2 linked regions of the Mytilus edulis genome follow. The protein of the gene in region 2 interacts with the protein of the main gene of each other region in a pairwise test. Links are inferred from orthologs where the notes say so. Each region holds a gene or a part of one and is shown on either strand. Other genes may lie near its edges.

Region 1 (8,438 bases), on a different chromosome or scaffold from region 2:
TGTTATGCGTTAACTTTTCATTGGCTAGAGGTATAGGGGGAGGGTTGAGATCTCGTAAACATGTTTAACCCCGCCACAATTTTGCGCCTGTCCCAAGTCAGGAGCCTCTGGCCTTTGTTAGTCTTTTATTATTTTTAATTTTAGTTTTTGTGTACAATTTGGAGTTTAGTATGGCATTCATTATCACTGAACTAGTATATATATTTGATTAGGGGCCAGCTGAAGGACGCCTCCGAGTGCGGGAATTTCCCGCTGCATTGAAGACCTGTTGGTGACCTTCTGCTGTTGTCTGCTCTATGGTTGAGTTGTTGTCTCTTTGACACATTCCCCATTTCCATTCTCAATTCTATTTACATATTCACAGGGTAAATACTGTTCCTATGTATTTATTTCATGTATCATGGAATATTACCTGGTATTACCTTGTAGTAATAGTCAATTATCCCGTTTTATAACTGAACACCAAACAGTTTTCTGTTGGTAAGTTAAACTCAGTTTTTACCATGAAATGCAGAGTAGCATTTTCTTTTTCTTGGTAATTTCTTTTAAAATGTTCTATCTGTAATGGTTTTTATATTTCAAAGTTCACCTTACTATGACTTTGGGAGGTGTATTTTTTTGTTTAATTTATTACATATATCTGTAACTTTTTAAATACCTGTATTCCAAATTGTCCGTAGATAAGTTTGTTATTGACCATCTCTGGCCCTCTCATATGGTCCAACATTTTAGACATGGTAGGAGGTTTAGCAGAAGGAATTGGGTTCTGTGGTACTTTGTCAAACTGTGACAGTTTACTCCTTAGTCTATTTACAGGTAGTTCTAAATCTGTAATATAACAAGATTCATATCATAATGTGTAATATTAATTTTCACACAGACTACATTAAAGTCTAACAAAAGGCTGTTAGAGCAACAGCAAACCAGATTTTTTTTATTGATTATTTGTGTTCTGGTATTTTTCAAGGACCACAACTCCTGATCATAAAAAGTAAAAGTGACAATCGTCAATACTGAACTTGACCTTCATTTTGTCATCAGTAAAAATGTATTAAAATTTAAAAAGCTTTGGTTGAATGGTTTATGAGTAAATGCATGGACACTGTTTGGCAGCCTGCCATATGGATACCCCTGTGCCCTCTCGCAGAACATCCACAAGTCAATAACTGATTTTTCCTTCTAAAATCAGGATAAAATGTATTGTTACCAGCAAGTTATAATTAAGTGAGCGTGCTTAATCATCTAGATAAAATTCTTATTTCTGAATTTAAATGCAGTTATATAACTTTTTAGATTTGCAGACAGTGATTGAAATTGTTCATTAAGGTGGCTCTTAAATGTAACTGAAGGTAGATACAACATATTAGGATAACAGGCAGTGATTGAACAGGGTGAAATCTGACAATGCTTTAGATGGTAGAATAAATCTTAATCATGAATAAAATGATGTTTGGGGTACATGTCAAAAAGACATCAACCTTATATAAAAAAAATAATAAATAGACATCTAAAAAGGAATCAAACAGTCTTTAAAAGTAGATCATATCTATAAAGCAATATGTCAAGATACAAATCATCTTAGTCACTCTATACAAGTTGTGAATAACTGTCAGAAACAAAACTCAACTCAAATTCATGAGTTAACATTTTTTTTTTAAAAGTCACAAATGTCATAAAAAAGTCTTAATTTGTGACAGCAACAGGAAACATTAATGTGGTAGAATTATACTTATTGTTTTAGATCTTGATCCTTTCAAACTAAGCAATACATGTGTAGTACCATCAATATTATAAATAGTAACTTCTTCTCTGATTACATTCTTCTGTATCATAACTTATACTGTGTGTATATATTTGATTCAATACTTTTTCTTAATGCTTTTTATAAAACATACTAATTCTTTGTTTGCAGTGAATTTAAAATGTTTCCTTGACATTGTAACTGTACCATGTTTACTCTTATCATGTTTATGATTTTTTAAGATACATGTACTAATAAATTATAAAACAAGAATGTGTCCAAAGTACACAGACGCCCCACTTGCACTATCCTTTTTCATGTTCCATAGACCGTGAAATTGGGTAAATATCTAATTTGGCATTAAAATAAGAAATATTATGCTATAGGTAACATGTGTACTAAGTTTCAAGTTGATTGAACTTCAATTTCATCAAAAACTACATTGACCAAAAACTTTAACCTGAAACTCCCACTTTAATTTTCTATGTTCAGTGGACCATGAAATTGGGGTCAAAAGTCTAATTTGGCATTAAAATTAGAAAGATCTTATCATAAGCAACAAGTGTACTAAGTTTCAAGTTGATTGGACTTCAGCTTCATCAAAAACTACCTTCACCAAAAACTTAAACCTGGAGCAGGACAAACAAACGAACGGAGCCACAGACCAGAAAACATAATGCCCCTCTACTATCGTAGGTGGGGCATAAAAACATTTTTAAATGAGCCAAACACTGAAATCTCAAATACAGCAGAAGGTTTAATTATCAATCAAAATTACCTTCTTCCTTTTCTGGCATTTTCAGCTTCATGTATGTGGCAACCTGAGTCACTTCTGACCCTGAAAAATAATCAAATTATCTAATTAGCTACATGTCAGAATATAACACAAAATCCCCTTTTTTATTACTTCAAATCATCTTTTTATTGTACAGGAAAGTCGAAGTGAGTTTTCCAACTAACAATGACTAAAGATACTTTAAAAGTATCATCAAACATGTCAAATATCAGACCAATATCTTCGAATTCAAGCAAAGAAAAAATTGTGGAAAAACTTATTTGCCTGAATAACAGATGGACAGACAGACAGGTAGACAGATAGAGCACAAACATGTAGTTTAAAGGTAATTTATATAATCAGAAACCGATCTAAAATAGAGAATTGAAATGGGAAATATGTCAATGAGACAACTACAACTGAACCACCAATGGGTCTTCAACGCACAAGAAAATCCTACACCCAGAGGCAGGCTTCAGCTGGCCCCTTAATAACAATGTGTACTACATGTAGTTCAGTGAAAATGTACATCAATACTTAACTCCAAAACATCATGCTACCCAAATTGTACCGATCAGAGTTTTGTGGTAAAAAGTATTCTGCATAAGTTGCATAACATTTGGTTGAGTCAAACTTAAGTTTAAGAACTGAAAAAATATCAAGGATGGAAAAAAATATTCATCATATTTTCATTTTATTTATAAAGGGCATAACTCTAGAATGGTTATATTAAAGTGACACTACTTAAATTCACACTTGATCTGTATTGTAATAAGCATTGTGTGTAAGTTTCATAACATTTATTTAGGCAAACTAATATTAGAGAACGGCAACTAAAAAATCAGCAATATTTCCACTTATAAACATGATAAAGGACCACTAGCTACGAGATACATTAAAAATCTAACACATTATTTCTTTTGCTCAATCATTAATGAAATGCAAATAGAGAAATAATAATTCACTTTTAGCAGCCAATATGGTTCAATTTTGTGAAAATAAGCTAAAAAACATTGATTATGATTCAATCACTTGCAAGTGAATAATTCTACCTCATTCATGTCATTGAATCTGTATTCATGTGAACTTCAATTTAACCCCTTAGCTTGAGATGGATAACATGTGAATTATATGTGTAAAGTTATTTAAAGGAAATTAATGTCAACATTGAAAGTGAAACAAAGGTAAATCATTTGATTGACTTATTTGATCCAAACACAATCATTCTTATACAGGTAAAAAAAAGGATAAACATGAATTTTTAATCTATAACATGAAGTAAATAGACCTAGAAAAATCCAACAGCACGAGTTAGCTCCATCTATCTATATTTATATTTATGTTTACATCGCATGTATGGTCATCAGATGACTTTAGAGGTCAACTCTATAGTTAATTGGATGGTGTATGGACTAAACTACACACAAAACGAAGCTATGTTTTTTCATGCCAGTGTCCTGTTTATTGTTTATTTTAGACTTTTAATGCATGTAGTTTTGATAAATGTTTTTATACATTGTTATAAATCAAATATGAGAATTGTGTTCATTTCGGTGAAAATGAATTTGACAGTTTGTGCCCCTTTAAGTGCACATGATGTCACCAAAATCCAAACTTGATCTGTGTTATGTGGTAATAAGCATTATGTATAAGTTTCATCACATTTAGTTGAGGCAAACGTTAGTTAGAGAACCGGAAACCAACAATTTTTTTTCAGCTTATCGAGAATGAAAGTAGAATGAAAAAGATATCAGCTGATCATTCTTTATACTAAAAATAAAATATATTGTAAAGGTTACTATACAAATCTTGAATACAGAATGCACCCTAAAATAAAGTGGAAGGAAAAGCTGAACATATGTTAGGTTCCGAATTGTCTAACCGTTGGCAAAAATTATGCCGAAATGACTTTTATACATAGGTGCCGATTTGATCCCTAATCATATCTTTCTAAGAGATTTTTGCTACCGTGAGAACAACTGAAATAATCACATATATCGAAAATGATAAAAAATTGCTACTTATTCAATAATTTCAATTACATTTTGTTAGCAAAAGTAAATGTTTTCTGCAAAGATTTTTTACAAGACAGTTCATTTTTTGTTCTTCGATGTAGGCTATTCTCTTTATTTTCCCTTTACGCAAATTCGTAAATGTAAGCGTTTTGCAGACCATGCATTTCGTATGTTTCTCTCGGACTTTATCCATCGCCGTACGAAAAAACCGCCACCAAAATGAAATGGAGAATGAAAAGATAAAAAAGCTTCATGTCCATAAAAGAAATCCACAAGATGCATGTAAATGACATTTCGTGATTTTTGTTTAAATTCATTTCAAAATCTTTTTACAAACCATGCATTCGTTACAACTGTACTGTGTACATGAGTAATTTAATTTGCAATGTAGCACTGTCTCTTCTGAAGTTCTGTCAAATTATGACAAATATTTTGAAATTATTCATGACATCTTGGAAGGCTGTTATTTTCTGCAAAAAAAAAGAGGGTGGCAAAGGGTTATTTTTGTGCAACGTTTTCGGTCTTTTTCTTTCTTTTTTCGAGTTTGGTTAGAAGTGCGTGATGTATGAGAGCAAGACTTAATAGTTAAGATAGTAATTTAGTCATGGCTAATCTATCTACATCTACATAATACTAATAAATATACAAGTTGTATTGCTGTAGTGACGTAACATAATACATACCTGTCAACCTCTGAAAATGAAAAGTCAGGTCATGACCTGCATTGAGAAAAAAAATCTCAGGTCATAACGCGTACGACATTTTGCGGGCTCAATTGAAGAAGAAAAATATGTTTACATATAATTTATATAGTCAATATGTATATGAAACAGTTAGAACATGTATACAAGTTTATTTCAGACTATTGTTATATTCCATAGTAGCAGACTTGGCATTCTTTAAAAGAACTGCACTTGGTTTCAGTTCATAGCAATGCAAATGTGTATTCATTTTACAAGAAAGAAGAGCACACAGTGTATCCTTATTAAGATCAGCCCTAAACTCTGTAGCTATTTTCTTTACTAAAGAAAATGCCCTCTCACTGTCTGCAATGCTGTTTGGCAAAACCAGTAATGTTTTAGCAAGTTTTGACAAAACAAAAAATTTTGGCTTGTTAATAAAAATGTCATGCAACTTGGACATTTCTCCCCAAAATGTACCAATGTCAGTTTCAGGGGAAGTGCAAAGTGGAAGTTCATCTAATGGGGTCAACTGATAGTCACTGAACTCATCTTGTAGCTGTGTTGTCTCTTCATATCGTTACGTAGCTCAGGTAAACAGTCCTACATTTTGACTTTTGGTTACATTGAAAAAGACCGATAAAACCGAAGGTCGTATTACTTCTAAATACCGGAAACAATTCCGGTCAGAAATCTGGGTGAAACGGGTAATGTTAGAAATTCCCGGGACCCGCCGGGTAAAGAAAAACTCCCGGGTGAGAGGTGAAAATAACGGGTGTCACCCGCAAAAAACGGGTGAGTTGACAGGTATGATAATACTGAATATCCTAAAGGTTTTTATGGTGTTTTCCCAGAATAATCTAAGATATCCTACTGTAGTGTATAATCGGTCGTCTTGTTGGTTCATTCAGACTTTGTTATTGTACTTATTACACGGGAAAACTCCGCATTGACTCCACTACGCTAATACCAACTCTCAAAATTAGTGCAGAATACATTTGTTCTACTCTTCTAAATAAAAGAACATTTCTAAAGATATGTCGTCCTGAATATGCATGAAATATTTGCCACTGGACGTCAAGCAACCAACAATCAATCAATCTAGAGATATGTTTTCATAGTTATTCAAAAGTATTTTATAAAAATTGCCAACTTGCCAATTTTCTAATGGCTGTTTAAAACCTGACTTCCAAATTCCTAAAACATTTCAGAACTTCACAAATTCCACTTCTGACCTCTATAGCTTTGTGTACATTCCATTAAGCGTCATCAATGAAGGGGATAGGACCTTTATCAGTATTCCGGGAACAGGTGTTTTTAAGCTCGGAATTTCAGGATTGACCCTTATGGGATCCGGGAATTCTTTTTTTCCAATTTCGGGATGCAGGTATTTAGATCTTTTTAAATTCAGGAATATCGTGTTTTAAAGCCCAGGTTTTCAAGATCAGGACCCCTCCTACACCCCCCCCCCTCACTCAATCTTAGTGGCAGACAAAACAGGTCATGCAAATCATATTTCTAAGAATTTCAAAATGACAAGCACCTTACGTTTGAGGGATTTTCCCACTACAAAAAAACATCCACAATAAAAATAAAACTTTGGGAAAAAACAATGTTCATAGATATAGGAAGATGTGGTATGAGTGCCAATGAGACAACTTCCAAGTAACAATTTTATAAAAGTAAACCATGACAAGTCTCAATTTACAGGCTCTTGAACTGAATTTTAATGTGTGTATTGTTATGCGTTTACTTTTCTACATTGGCAAGATGTATAGGGGGTGGGTTGCGATCTCATAAACATGTTTAACCACGCACATTTTTGCACCTGTCCAAAGTCGGGAGCCTCTGGCCTTTGTTAGTCTTGTATTATTTTTAATTTTAGTTTCTTGTGTACAATTATAGAGTTTAGTATGGTGTTCATTATCACTGAAATAGTATATATATTTGTTTAGGGGCCAGCTGAAGGACGCCTCCGTGTGCAGGAATTTCTCGCTGCATTGAAGACCTGTTAGTGATCTTCAGCTGTCGTCTGTTCTATGATCTTTTATGGTTGGGTTGTTGTCTCTTTGACACGTTTCCCATTTCCATTCCCAATTTTATTTATAAACTTTTTTGTTTGCTATTTTAGTTTTAGGAAATGATATTTTGATCAATCCTAAAGACTTTCCTGACGTTGTTCTCCGAGATATTCTAGAGATTCATCATTCTGATAGTGATAATAGGTAAGTGTCATCAAGTAAGGGAGATAACCTAACAATTCTTTGTAATAACTAATATATATATATAGTTATCATGAACTCAGTCGTGGTATCAGTGATGATAATTGTTACGGTAATTGTATTGCTGTTTTATTATTTCGTTCCACTGTGTAAACCCCTGTATGTATATGTTCATTTGTAATTGGCATTTGATGATAGTCTAATGTCTGGACTAAGTGGACTTTTTTTCAATGTTTTTTACTTCCTTACTCACTTTACATGTTTTAATTCATGTACATGTATAGGCATTTAGCTTAATACATGTAAAATGATTTTTGAAATAAGAAGTTATTGAATTTTGACAAATGAGGTTTATAGGTTATGAAAGTAATTCTGGAAAAAAGAGTTGATTTATCATGTTTATGAAATCATTAATTAATTTTAACTGAAAATATTTATAAGTATGATGAAAGAAACAAGAGGAAGATGTTGAGTAAACATAAAAGAGAAACAACCCAACAACATCAGAAGGGGTCTGTTAGATATTAGATTTTGTTTGCCTATATTTATTATTCAAGAATTAAAACATTGTAATTTAATGTATGCTCTTATTCTAATTTTAGTCGATTACTGCTACAGGTGACAACAGTGACTGGTGAATTTCAACAGAAAGGTACACCATTTTATTAAACATTTGTGTTTCTAGATTTTTGTGCCCAGTGACAAATATGACAGAAACAATAGATTTACCAATCTTGATACATCTAGATCTGTCTATGAAGATTTTGTAACTTCCTTAAATTCAATATTTCAGACTCCCAAGGTTAAAAACATCAATGACATTACCCATTAAATTGATTTTATAAAAGTGTGGATTGATTGCAAATGAGAAATCACTATACCAGAGACCAAATTTAAGGAAGATCTGATGTATGATTGCCAATGATATGACTCTTCACAAGAGATTAAATGACACAGAAAATGATGAATAGTATGCATTCTTAACAATGTAATATCAAATTTTTA
Region 2 (8,126 bases):
ATAGCCAAGACCACACTCAGAGATAGAAAAGATATCAAAAAACATATGTAACCTAAACACCAAAAGCTAAGACCACATGTGGAGATAGAAAAGAAAGAAAGAAACATATGTGGCAGTAACACCAAAAGCCAAGAACATGAACACATGAGGAGATAGAAGAGACTGAAAGAAACATATGTGGCATGTTGATGAACACCAAAAGCCAAGACCACACTTGGAGATAGAAAAGATCAACAAACATATGTAACCTAACACCAAAAGCCAAGAGCACCTGAGGACAGAAGAGACAGAAACAAACTTATGTGGCATGAACACTAAAAGCCAAGAACATATAAGGATATAAGAGAGACAGCAACAAATATATGTGGCATAAACACGAAAAGCCAAGAACACATGAGGATATAGAAGAGACAGCAACAACCATATGTGGCATGAACACTAAAAGCCAAGAACACATGAGGAGATAGAAGAGACAGCAACAAATATATGTGGCATGAACACTAAAAGCCAAGAACACATGAGAAGATAGAAGAGACAGCAACAAACATATTTGGCATGAACACTAAAAGCCAAGAACACATGAGGAGATAGAAGAGACAGCAACAAACATATTTGGCATGAACACTAAAAGCCAAGAACATGTAAGGATATAAGAGAGACAGCAACAAATATATGTGGCATAAACGCGAAAAGCCAAGAACACATGAGGATATAGAAGAGACAGCAACAACCATATGTGGCATGAACACTAAAAGCCAAGAACACATGAGAAGATAGAAGAGACAGCAACAAACATATTTGGCATGAACACTAAAAGCCAAGAACACATGAGAAGATAGAAGAGACAGCAACAAACATATTTGGCATGAACACTAAAAGCCAAGAACACATGAGGAGATAGAAGAGACAGCAACAAACATATTTGGCATGAACACTAAAAGCCAAGAACACATAAGAAGATAGAAGAGACAGCAACAAACATATTTGGCATGAACACTAAAAGACAAGAACACATGAGAAGATAGAAGAGACAGCAACAAACATATTTGGCATGAACACTAAAAGCCAAGAACACATGAGAAGATAGAAGAGACAGCAACAAACATATTTGGCATGAACACTAAAAGCCAAGAACACATGAGGAGATAGAAGAGACAGCAACAACCATATGTGGTATGCACACTAAAAGCTAAGAACACATGAGGATATAGAAGAGACAGCAACAACCATATGTGGTATGCACACTAAAAGCTAAGAACACATGAGGATAAAGAAGAGACAGCAACAAACATCTGTGGCATAAAATTAAAAGCCAAGAAACACATGAAATAGAAAAAACAGAAACAACCAGTGAAGAGATTTGTAAATATTGCACTAGTCAAGTTATAATGTGATGGCAGCTTTACCATTGAAGGTTTTTCCATTTTCACTAGCTCAATAATTAGGTTTAATAGGAAGAAGTGCAATAGTCAAGTCACATTTATAAAATTATTATTTTGCTAGACTGTTATGGCGAAAGTTTTGGCGATGTAAAATAAAAAAAAAAACCAACAGGATATTAATAGCTTAGATGATACAGAATTAATAAATAAATAACATAAAAATGTTTATAGCGTATTAACTACCTTGCCTCCCTGTCTGGGGACAGCTGTTTGGAATACAGCCTCCACAGCAAAGGTTCCACTTCCCTGTATTGGAACACATGTGAACTCATCTTTGGATACTTCTACAAGCAAAAAAACAAGCCAAGTAAAACTTGTGGCAAGTGAGTTGTCTTTTCCTTGGTATATTCCACAAAAAATATATACTGTTATTTTAAAACAATTATTTTCATTTCTTATACTGTAAAGAGCTTTATTTTTACAATTTTTTTTACATATTTCTAGGTCAAACCTCTTTTACAAAGGTCTTATTTTCATGTTTTTCTTGTCCTGATTCTGATCAGCTGATTTAATTTACATGAAGGGATATTTTTCACAAGTTTTATCTCAATGGTCAATCTGATCTTAATATAGATCCAGTGTCCACACTTCACTTATAGAAGGATTTAAGAACACTATGTTTTACTTTCTGCTCTGGTAAATATTACAACAGCCAATGAAATTACAGCCATCAAAATTTTGAAAGTGTGTAACATTATGACAAAACCTGAGAATCCAGAAAGGTCTTAAGGATGTACTTAGGTGAGGAATTTGTGTCAAATGTTCGGACTCCTTGGTGTTTTCCATACAATACAATGTAAAATATTTTGCCCCATAACACCAATTTATTTTTTCATATTAGACTTAATAGCTCATGAAAGGTCATTTACCAAAATTTTAGAAGATTCTTGATTTTCTTTTTTGTTTTGAGACCCAAATTATACCAATGCAAATATAAGGTAAAAGTCCGAGTCAGCATTTTCCCAACATATTTTAATACTCAAATATCTTGAAAAGGAGGTCCATGACCTATCAATATTATTAGCTTATCTTTATCCTTAATTGATGCTCTACCAGCTAATAATATCAATTTTCATTTCTTAATTTCTTAATTTTTAACTAACCTCACCTAAGACATGTAAGAACATCCTTAAAAAATGATAGTAGAACAGAGTGTTGTCAGTTCCTTGTAGAAAAAGTGTGGACACAGGGTTAATATTTCAATAAGATTGCTTAAAAGTTGAATCAATTAAAACAGAGATAAAATAAATATTAATTGTGTTTGGATATACACCTGAGGGGACCTATGATTACCCATATTTTAAAATACCTGCTATTTCTACTAGTTTTGATCTGAGAGTTTTAATTGCTTCTATAAAGGCTACATCTCTTGAACCATATTCTGTAAATGCTGCTTGTCTGACTGTAGGAGAGGTCGATAATGGTCCTGGAGTAAATAACTTTTTTTCTGAAAAAAATACACATGTATCATATTTTTGTGCATTTTCCCTATACAGAAGGTTTTTGTTCAGCAAATCATTTGGTAGTTATGTTATGACTATAGGCATACATTTGAATCACATTAAAAGGTATTTTTGATCATCATTAATAAGTGTTGGCCTTTATGATGCACAAAATCATGTCAGAATTTTAAGAAAATAAGTAATTTGAATCAATGTTATTAGAAAAACGGTATTGTTGTCTTTAAATTGTGTTGACATATTCTTATTTAAACATGTAAGGTTGATTATGTCTAGCATAAGAACAGTGGTGGATCCAGAACTTTTTGTAAGGGGGCCCGCTCCAGTCACGCTTCAGTGATTCCCTATATAATCAACCAAATATTTCCAACAAAAGGGAGGGGGCTGGATCCGCCTATGTAAGAAGATACCATTGCTTTTGATTTTCTTGTTTGTGTATATATATTTTGTACTCTGTATTTGGATGTTCTGATACCGTAATTGATGTTATATAATAAAGGTGTCATTATAGTTCATACAGAAGCTCCCTTTTTACATTACAAAAAAGGGGGAAATACTGACCATAGCAACAAATATCAAGAAACTGTCAAAGACTAAATGAATAAATTGCTGTTACACATTTTCCTCACATATTATATTACTTAAAATTGAGAATGGAAATGGGGAATGTGCCAAAGAGACAACAACCCGACCATAGGGCAGACAACAGCAGAAGGTCAGCAACAGGTCTTCAATGCAACAAGAAATTCTCGCACCCGGAGGCGTCCTTCAGCTGGCCCCTAAACAAATATATACTGGTTCAGTGATAATGAACACCATACTAAACTCCAAATTGTACACAAGAAACTAAAAGTTAAAATAATACAAGACTAACAAAGGCCAGAGGCTCCTGACTTGGGACAGGTGCAAAAATGCAGCTGGGTTAAACATGTTTGTGAGATCTCAACCCTCCCCCTATACCTCTGGCCAATGCAGAAAAGTAAACGCATAACAATACGCTTGAATACTTACATCACTTAGATAATTTAACGAAATATAAATGATAAGGAAATGCGATAAATAGTTCAGGTGTACACATACCTGGTGCATCTTTTGTGTAACACTTCTGATGATTTACATGAGACATCTTAAAAACAGAGAGGAAATTTGGTACCTGGTAACTTTTATGTTGAAACTTAGTAAAAGCAACATAACTTCTCAATGTATTGCAAGTGATTTTGTTCATCCTAATAGATCAGTTTCAGGGTGCTAATGTTAATGACACCAAGATTACAACCAGTGTCAGTGACACATTGCATATATTGAATTTTATCTAGTCATATCTTGTTATGCAAGGGGTGATTACTCCACTCAAACTTTTCTATTGAAGCACTTACCTACACAAATATTTGTCATGTCCTTCCCGAATTTGGGATTTAGTTTTTATTGCTTCTCGGTTCTTTTCATCGAAATTTAAAGAAAACTACCGAGGGACCACGTTAGATTGAAACTTCCTGTCGGTAAATGACAAAGCAACAACATGAGCTCTATTGGAACTGGTGTAAGTTAAAAACCGCACCATTTAGTGAATTGTCCACTTCGGTGTACATCTTCAAAATACAATTTATGATAATTTTTCAAGGTCTGCGTGTCATTTATCTACTTTGGTTTTAGGAATAAATGGAATTTTCACCCAATATTATTTGCGTACTCCATCCATGACTTTTGTACAAATGTACATGTATCTATTAGTTTTGAAAATTAAATTGTCAGTTTAAAACACATTTCTGGATGATCAGTTTGCAAAAAATGAGAGTTCAAATTTCAAACACAAAATGTGTCTACAGAAAACCATGACAACGAGAATGTTCCATTCTTATACACCTTATCGCTATTTGTCCGCCATTGCTGGAAATCACACAGATTCCCGTAAAATTTTGACGTCATAAAACAAAATATCTGACGCCACAATGGAAAAGTGATTGTTGTTGACGTCAAAAGTTCAAGCGGCTGGGTCAGCCGGGATTAGCGATAAGGTGTATTGTACTAGCCTATAAGGGGTCCATTAATAAAACATCATTTCCTTATGTTCTTGTTCATTAAAGTCATAAGAAACCTCAAATTAAAAAAAAAATATGCATATATTTTTTATAACTAAATGGATAGTTTTCATTATACAACTTATGTACATATACATTTTTCTGAGGAAAATTCTTTAATTTGTCCACATTTAGAAGTTTACTTATTTTTAATTGCTTGCTTCCAGGAAGCAATTCGCCGACATATTTTCCGTATGCATAGTGACCCGAGCGTAACCCTCCTCGTAAAAATCTGGTAATCGCAATACGCATGGATCTGTATTGAAATAAACAAATATCTGAGTTTACATGTTAAACACGTGCTCAATACCCATGCTTTTTGTGATTTGTTTACTTTAAGATGACAATCGTTAAAACTCGGCTTCAAAACACGGCATTTAATGAGCAGCCATATTTTTTAAATCATAACAAACAGAGAGAAAAAATATTGACGATTATAGGATATATTTGCGAAAATAATGAAAAATCGTGCACAGAGGACTAAGTTTATGATATATACATGCATTGGTTCAAGAATTGGATAAACATTATTTTTCACCACTCACTCGTTTCATATGACTTTAATATATGATAAACCGGTCATCCATATATGTTTACGACGCATGGGCAGACTTACCGGACAGTCACAACCACACTTCAGTGAAAAACACAGGTGACCCATTAGTCTGATTGATTTTCAAATCATTTCAGATATATCTATGCGCAGTATACGGAAATTAGATAAAATATGTAACATTGAGTTTTCAGTGAATACATATAAATCAAATTTGATGCAATTTTCATTTATTAAAGAAGAAATGCACACGATTAAAGCCTTAGGTGGGCAGAGTTCCCAGACAGTGCACCGTAATTGGCTCTATATTAAATAAGATAATAGGCTTTTATTTTATTGTGTTAAAATAGTGACATTACAAAAACTTTTAACACATTTCCTTTAGTGCTTTGTGTCAAATTGTGAATTATTTTAAACTAGGACATACTGATAATGTTAGTATAATATAGTCCATGTTTTGCTGAAATGAATAAGAATATTGTATTGATGATCAAAAGTCAAGTTCATTCATCTATGACTTGTAAAAGAAATAAAGAAGATACCATAAGGCTATCAAACTGGTGACAATGACATTGCCACACACAAAAATGAATAACACAAAAACTGGAACATCAATAACAGCAATAATGATTTTCAAACATATAATAATAATTCTGAAATAGCTTTAAAAAGGAGTAAGTTCGGTAAGGGCCATATTTGGCCGTGATTTTAAAATTCAATGTTAAAAGACAAAAAATGTTTTAAGTTGACTTAAAGACGTGATAAAGTTAAATAAAACTACTTTTAACAAAGTTTAATTCTAACACTTCAATTTTTATACCCCAAAATGGTCAAGATAAGAGATTTTTGTGAAATTTGACAAAATCAGCTGAATTTTAACCAAATTTAGAACCAGGAAACATAGAGTGGAGGCGTTGACAAAATACATATTAAAAAAAGACATGTGAAATGTTGTCACAAACATTATTTTAAAGATCTTTGTTGTTGACGTAAATGCTCTATGTTTCCTGTCCAATAATCTATGGAAATTTACCAATTTTCATTGATTTTTTCGTGGAAAATCAACATGAATACAACTTGACGTCATAATAAAACACAGGAACGTAATTTTTCAACAAAATGGCTTATTTCCTATCTAGTCACTGTATTAGCTATAATTAATTGTGATATTCAGATATTGGTCAATAAATCCGAATTTGAAATTTACACTAAAAAATGGGGCCATTTTAGGACCTTATCTTTGTAAATAGCAATCAATTTAACTCAAAACAATGGGTTTCACAAATTAGCAACAAGAAGAATAATTAAAGCAACAAAAAAGCTAATTAAGCGACAAGAAAATAAATTTAGCACCAAGATATCTAAATCGTAATTTTTATTTGAAATAAATAGATATAGAAACATGCACTGAAATTTGCTTGGTCTTGCTTTAAATATGTATTCAAGAATTATCATGATTTTGAGCAAAGAAAATAAACCTATCAGTGATTTTAGGCACCAACCAAATCTTGCAGTTATATATGCTAATGAATGCATATGAATTTTAAAAAGTAAAAACAAAAATATTAACAACAGTCAACTATTTACTAGATGCCTAAGTTTTAATTAAATATATATATAAATATATTTCAGTATGACTTGTCAGCTTCTCAGTTTTCACCTGATGGAAGAGTGTTTCAAGTGGAATATGCATTAAAGGCTGTTGAAAACAGTGGGTAAGTGTATTTATGTTATACCAAACATAATCAAGGTTTGAAAAGATTATTGGTTCATTGGCAAATTTCATGAGAGAATTTGATTGAACAGCACCATTCATAAATGGCTTATTGATTTGCAAAGTGCAAGTGCAAACTCTCCGTTTCAAATTGTGAAAAACTGGAAATCAGAACCAGAATCCGACAAAGCATCATTTATACACATGAACTAAAAGCTAATTTCTTCAAGATTAATTGCAATTGTGTGAAATAATGGGCAAATCAACTTTTGTTTTTGTTGTTGATGATGTTTTAGAGATTTTAAGTATTGTACACTACAAATATTCACTTAGGAAATTTCAACCCACATGTGTTTTCCCCTTCATTTCAGCACTGCTATAGGAATACAGGGAAAAGATGGTGTAGTATTTGGTGTAGAGAAGTTAGTAACATCTAAACTATATGAAGCTGGAGCTAACAAAAGGATCTTCAATATAGACAGACATATAGGAATGGTAAATTTTTCTTGAGGTCCAAAGCAGGGCTTCCAAAAAATATTTGAGCCAGCCGGACATTTCATATCTGATCCCGATTTTTATTCCTTAAGACTTAGTCACAAAAGGCAATTATGGTAATCAGATGGCCATTCCAATGATTGACATTACATTAAAAAAAAAACGATTTTAAACTTTACTTTGATATGATATGAATTTGATGTTCGGATATAACTGTTAAATTGGATCAACTGTTAAGTGCATCATTCAAAGTGTGCACATCAGCGTGCTCATATCTGCCTTAGACTTTTTATTTGTGCAAAAACTTTAGTTTCGTTTTCACATTGTTCTAACCGGATGTTGACTTGACAATGGTAAAACATGGACCATAAACGGATACGTAAA

What was found.
Region 1: the proteins of proteasome subunit alpha type-3-like (region 2) and GATOR complex protein Iml1-like interact in a two-hybrid assay, tested with the Caenorhabditis elegans proteins (2 studies listed by BioGRID). The link is inferred for Mytilus edulis from reciprocal best matches to the Caenorhabditis elegans genes pas-7 and depd-5.

Annotation. Positions count from the first base shown.
Region 1 is NC_092349.1:82,684,787-82,693,224, reverse strand, and holds the start of GATOR complex protein Iml1-like, read left to right. Parts: upstream 1-4,717; 5' UTR 4,718-4,755; coding exon 4,756-4,813; intron 4,814-7,342; coding exon 7,343-7,436; intron 7,437-8,035; coding exon 8,036-8,085; intron 8,086-8,438. Other genes in the region: large ribosomal subunit protein uL16m-like, read right to left, coding at 659-828, 2,520-2,579, 4,559-4,613.
Region 2 is NC_092346.1:25,014,216-25,022,341, reverse strand, and holds the start of proteasome subunit alpha type-3-like, read left to right. Parts: upstream 1-4,316; 5' UTR 4,317-4,421; coding exon 4,422-4,442; intron 4,443-7,165; coding exon 7,166-7,248; intron 7,249-7,618; coding exon 7,619-7,742; intron 7,743-8,126. Other genes in the region: 2-aminoethylphosphonate--pyruvate transaminase-like, read right to left, coding at 1,626-1,726, 2,752-2,889, 3,983-4,127.